Linked DNA regions of Xenopus tropicalis. The protein of the gene in region 1 binds, or shares a complex with, the protein of each later gene. Links are inferred from orthologs where the notes say so. Each region holds a gene or a part of one and is shown in the gene's direction. Other genes may lie near its edges.

Region 1 (2,423 bases):
GCCTACTTTCCACTTGTGCAATTTAAAGGACATGTAAACCATACATTTTCCTACCATATATATATAAGTTGGGCACCCAAACAACTCCATTTGTACTGCATATATCCCCTGTGTTTGTCAGCACCATTACATATCCCTAAAGCAAATAGTGTCTTTTACCTGGCAGCCATTTTCCTTCTGACATCATCAGTGACATTTACATCTGCAAACAGCTCATGTGCACTACAAAGTTCATGCAATGAAGAATGCTGCCTTACGCAGGCACAACTTACTTTGATCAAACGCACAAATTTCCCCCATGTGTAACAGACCTAAAATGATTCAACAAGCTTGAATTACTTTAAAGCACATTTATTACCTACTTCAGTTCTAACTTTTTCTTTCAAGCAAAAATAATTTTTCTTTAATAGATCTTTGCTTGTTACAAGAGGAATATACTGATAGGTCAATTTAACCCTTCGGTGTTTAACCCTGTGAAAAGCCTCTCCAAGTTATTATGTGCCAGAAATGCCCTTATACTGCCAAAGTTTACATGTCTAAAATGGGTAGTGTCTTAGTTGCTCCCTTAGGGCTCTAACATCACTTTAATGTATGCATTTACAAACACATGCTGAATGCAAAAAATTAAAAACTGTGCGCACAAAATATTTTTTGTGTACATAACTGAGAAGAAATTAGAGGGGACATTGAACCCTTGCCTTTATATAACTTTAATAAATCGCAAGACTGTGTGCTAAAATCACGGATATTATCACTTTAAAGGTAAAGGTTGGAAGGCGAGTAATCTATATGCCGCTGGGTATTGTTTCATGTGTTAACATGTTGCGGAGGTTACTATTCAAAAAATGGTTTATTCCTATAGAATTGACCCAACTGCAACCACTTTATATTTTTCCATACAGCTTTCCGCCTGTTCTCTCCCTGTGTCCCACAACTGAGCATGCAGGGAGTTTCGATTTCGCTTGAAATAGGCGGGCCAATCGCTGAAGCGAAAATGAGCAAAACACTACAAAATTACGAAACTTTATTTATTTTAGTCGGCGTCGATATATTGGTCACTCCCGGAAGCAACGTAACTTCCGGCTGCTGTAACACGCTGACTTCTTTTGTCCTCCGGAAGCCAAAGGCGCTACCGCTGCATATCATAACACCAAGTCGTGTACAGTGAGCTTGCTGTTAGCGCTTGCCATCGCCATGACAGACCGATATACTATTCACAGCCAACTGGAGCATCTGCAGTCCAAGTATATCGGCACGGGCCATGCGGATACTACTAAGTGGGAGTGGCTGGTGAACCAGCACAGAGACTCTTACTGCTCCTACATGGGCCACTTTGATCTGCTCAATTACTTTGCCGTGGCTGAGAACGAAAGTAAAGCACGGGTACGTTTTAACCTGATGGAGAAGATGCTGCAGCCGTGTGGGCCCCCAGCTGATAAGCCCGACGACTCTTAAGCGTGGCGATGGTTTCTTCTCTGAGGCTGCCTGTTATGGAGTTCTTGGAGTCGATCAAACTTATCGCCGTTCGTCTTAAAGTTTCCGGGACTTAAGCAAGAGATTCCCGCCTAATCAACAGGCGTGTATCATAAAGCAGGACTGTGCTAATTCTAAATGGAGTTTCTGAATTCCAGGAGTCCGTGATAAAGTACTTTGAGGACGTTTGTGCATTTGCCTGAAGTCTCTTCGAAATCCTTGTACGACTAATCTAGGCTTTTCTTTCAACTGCTTATCACTTGTAATAAAACAATCAACTCTTGTTGAATCCTTGTACAACATACCCTTGTTAGTTTTTTAATTGTTCACTGTGGTTCACTTATTAGATTAATAAGTATGTAAAATGTTATTGTCAGGGTGCTATGTTTGGTGTTCTTGAAGAGAATCTAGCTGCCCATCCCCCCCCCCACCCAAAAAAAAAAAAAAAACTGGAAAAGGTAAACGTAGTCAGGGTGCTTTTAGTAGCCAGCAACCCTAGGGTCAGTTGCAATTAGGCTTCATAATTGTTTTTTTTTATATAGCTTTTTGTTGAGTTGCTTTCAGTTTTCATATTCTTACATCTATCTGGTTGCTATTATTTACCCTAGGCAGTGGTTTGAACTGGAATATGAATAGGAGAAAGCCTGCATAGACAGGGGAAAAAAAACCAACCATTGCCACACAGATCAATGGTTTTTGTCTGGCAGTGTTAGTGACCCCATTTTAAAGACGGAAAGAGGCAGAAGAGAAAAGCATGTAATTTAAAAAAAAAAAAAATATGAAAATCAATTGCAAAGTTGCTGGGAATAGGGCATTTAATACCATACTAAAAGTTAATTTAATGGTAAACCACCACTTAAATACCCTACATTTAAAACTGTGACTGGAAGACACTGCATTTGGGGATTAATATCAATATCTCTGGAACTATAGCAGAAGTAAGTATAACA
Region 2 (3,662 bases), on another chromosome or scaffold:
AAGGCTTTGGAGCTGTCTGGCACGGCAGTCCCTGCTGAACTTGAGCAACTGTGGAATGAATTTAAGGAACAACAGAAAGCGGTAAGATATTTACCCTTCCCCTATGCATTTGAATCCAGATGACTATGTACATGGGGGTAAAGTATTGTACACAGTTAAAGGGCCTGTTATCCAAAATAACTTTTAACAATAGGATTGTTTAAAATAAGGATTAATTATAATAGTTGATCAAGTACAAGGTATTGTTGTATTGCAGAGAAAAAGAAAATCCTTCTAGTAAGTAATTCACTTTAAAAATGAAATCTTGGGTGGCCGTACACGGAGTGGATCTTCTCCCAATATACCCACCTAAGGTGGGCGATATTGGGCTAATTCAATGGTTTGGTCCTAGGCGCCATCGGATCCCATCAATGAGCCAATGCGGCCCCTGATACGTAGGAAAATCAAACCTGCCCAATAGAAGGAGAATCTCAGAAGTGTGCAAGGCATTGTGGGAATTTGTATGGAGAGCCGGCTAAATTTTTTTCAGTTGTGTATAAAGTCAAATAGTAGTGCAGGTGGTAACAAGAGCAGTCAGATCCTGCTCAGTAGCAATAATATTCATAATTTACAATTATATTACAGTTAATTTTAATGTATATTACATAGTCGCTTAGAATAACATTTGTTTTATTACACCAAATGTTATATTTAGGATTACTTCCCCATCGATAGAAGTTTGAAACTTATGTTCTCCTTTTGCTCTGTGACGCAGCAAGAAAGTGCTGTTCACAACCCTGTCATGCTAGGACCCTTAACAGTTGAATCCTATACCTTTTATTCTAACTTTTATCTTTCTTTAGGAAGGAAAGATAATTAAGAAAACCAGCGGGTTCTCTGGTAAAGGCTTTAAATTTGATGAGACCGAACAGGCTTTGGCCAACGAGCGGAAAAAACTGCAGAAAGCAGCACTTGGCTTGCAGGATTCGGATGATGAAGATACAGCTCTTGATGTGAGTAATAAACATACAATCATGGTTATGTTCTCTTAGTAAAACCTGGAAAATATATTTGAAATTTTAAAAGGGATGTAAAGTCAAAATCTTAACTCCATGTTTAAATATAGCCCCAAGATAGGAAAGCACTATAACATGTTGTTCTAAATAAAATCAGATGGCAAAGCAGTTAAAACAGGGTTAAAACATAGCCAACTGGAGCTCTGTATTCCTTAATGTCTGCTGTGTAATGAAGAGTGGGCCTGTCTCACTCTCTGCTCATGTTTTACTTCCTTACCTGGGCCTGACCTGCGCTTATCAGCAAATGTACAATGACAATCCAGTAAACAATATCCTGTGCGTTTTTGTTCAAGTCTGGAATAGGACAGTCCCTGCTTTTTTTAATATCAGGATGGCCACTGGCCATGTAGGTTTGCAGGGGCTGTGAGCAGAGCTTATTTCAGAGGAATAACATAAGATGCAATATACAAAGGCTTCTAATTAAAAAAAAAGTTAGAGCATTTTAATGGGTTCATATTGCAAATTTACATCATTTGGTCTACTGTAAATAACACACACAAGGATTATGATTTTTGACTTCACATCCCCTTTAATATAGCAATGTGTAGCTCACAAGTGCCCTGGGCCATAAAGGCAGAAACAATAAATATCCGCTCAACTCAACTGACCTAAATGGGAACAAAGGTGTTAAGAGGCTCACTCAGGAGTGGTAACTCTTGCTACTGTAAAGATCTTATCACAAACTGGCAATCCCTATGAATTTACATTTCTTCTTCTTTAGAGACCTTTTGTACAGACCCTTTTTATAAAAGAGCTGACCCCGTTTTCTTTTTCTCATAGTATGACATTGCCACAGTTTGCCGTATTTGCAAGTAATCGTATTTGAAATTCAGTATGTACACTGTTTATCTGTTATGTGTTTATAGCATTTTGCATTAATTCAAAGTTTTATTTACCTTTTAGATTGATGAGCAGATTGAAAGCATGTTCAATTCGAAGAAGAGAGTAAAGGACATGGCGGGACCTGGTGGTGCGGCAGCAACCGGTGCCCCAGGAATGGTTGGTGGTGCTGTCGGAGCAGGCTCTTCAGCTAATGCAACATTACCCACTGCAGGCAATGCAGAGAAACTGGAGATTGCAAAGCGTTTGGCTAAGAAACTCAGCGTGAACAAGAATTTGGGAGCAGAAGCTCAGGTGTGTATATTTCCCTATAATTACAGGAAAGCCCACCTTAACTCAATTTTTTTTCTTTGACTTTGTCTAATGCAAATATTAAAGTACATGTAAAGCCTACATTTTGCTACAATGTATATATGTTGGGCACATCACCCCCACCCAAATGGCATCATATGTACTGCATATATCCCCTCTGTTTGCCAGCACCTTCACATTTTCCTCTGGCCATATTCCCTCTGACACATTATCACTTACATTTAAATCTGCTAACAGCATATGTGCACAAAAACCCCTGTTTATTGTACATATTATCAAGAATGCAGTCTCACACAGGCACACTGATAAAAAAAAAAAAGTTCTGCTTCGATTGAGCACTGTATTGGTTAAGCTGAGCTCAGGGGGGGAGGTTAGGAGAAAAAGAGGAATAGACAGCTAGAGGTGAGTTTCTATATATATATATATATATATATATATATATATATATATATATATATATATATATATATATATATATATATATATATATACAAGAACAGAGAGGAGCACACCCTCTGAGCAAAAAACAACTGCCCTCGGTGCTGGTCAAACAATTCAATAAACAAGCAGAGTACCGCACACAAAGGGACTTTATGAAAACAAAAAAGGTTTATTGGAAAAATCCGACGTTTCGAGCACTAAACTGTGCTCTTCCTCAGGGACAAACCTGAGGAAGAGCACAGTTTAGTGCTCGAAACGTCGGATTTTTCCAATAAACCTTTTTTGTTTTCATAAAGTCCCTTTGTGTGCGGTACTCTGCTTGTTTATATATTTATATATATATATATATATATATATATATATATATATATATATATATATATATATATATATATATAATATATATATATATATATATATATATATATATATATATATATATATATAATTTTTTTTTTTTTTTTTCCCCCTCATGGGTAGGCGGTGTTATATAACACACTAGGTGGTTTAGTGTTACTTAACCTGCAGCCTTCCTTATCACCTTCCATTGCCAAACTTCTAAAAAACCAACCTTCCATTGACTACCTTACAAGAAATCAACATGGGTAAAGAGGGTATTTATACAACAATGTACAGCCAGAAATGGCTAGTGATAAGTATTTTTAAGGTATAGCAGAGACAACTACCCTTGAAAATGATATACTGAATGGTCATTAATGCCAGGTTCTCCTGTTGATTTGTGCATTCCATTTGTGTAGTTATAGCAGTTTGGAGGAATGACTACAGCTTTGGTCATTTTTATAAATTTTAGAATGATCTCTAAGCTTTCAAATTGCAAGCTTTAATGCCCAAGGCCCTCTGTCTTCTGTAGCATTCATTGTTTGTATGTTTGCTGTATACGTCCTATTGTACATCACAGCAGGCTGAAGTGGTCTTTTAGAAATGTTTTAATAATAAAGTTAATAAGATGTTGTTGCATTTCATCACCAAATTAATTGTTCCAACAATTTAGGG

What was found. The genes of interacting proteins can lie anywhere in the genome.
Region 2: sf3b5 (region 1) and ddx46 share a complex: the UniProt entries of both Homo sapiens proteins name them as parts of the 17S U2 SnRNP complex. The link is inferred for Xenopus tropicalis from reciprocal best matches to the Homo sapiens genes SF3B5 and DDX46.

What each region holds. Positions count from the first base shown.
Region 1 is NC_030681.2:58,017,526-58,019,948, forward strand, and holds sf3b5 (splicing factor 3B subunit 5), read left to right. Parts: upstream 1-1,192; 5' UTR 1,193-1,194; coding exon 1,195-1,455; 3' UTR 1,456-1,770; downstream 1,771-2,423. UniProt on the Homo sapiens protein: Component of the 17S U2 SnRNP complex of the spliceosome, a large ribonucleoprotein complex that removes introns from transcribed pre-mRNAs.
Region 2 is NC_030679.2:26,177,841-26,181,502, reverse strand, and holds part of ddx46 (probable ATP-dependent RNA helicase DDX46), read left to right. Parts: coding exon 1-81; intron 82-842; coding exon 843-992; intron 993-1,958; coding exon 1,959-2,189; intron 2,190-3,662. UniProt on the Homo sapiens protein: Component of the 17S U2 SnRNP complex of the spliceosome, a large ribonucleoprotein complex that removes introns from transcribed pre-mRNAs.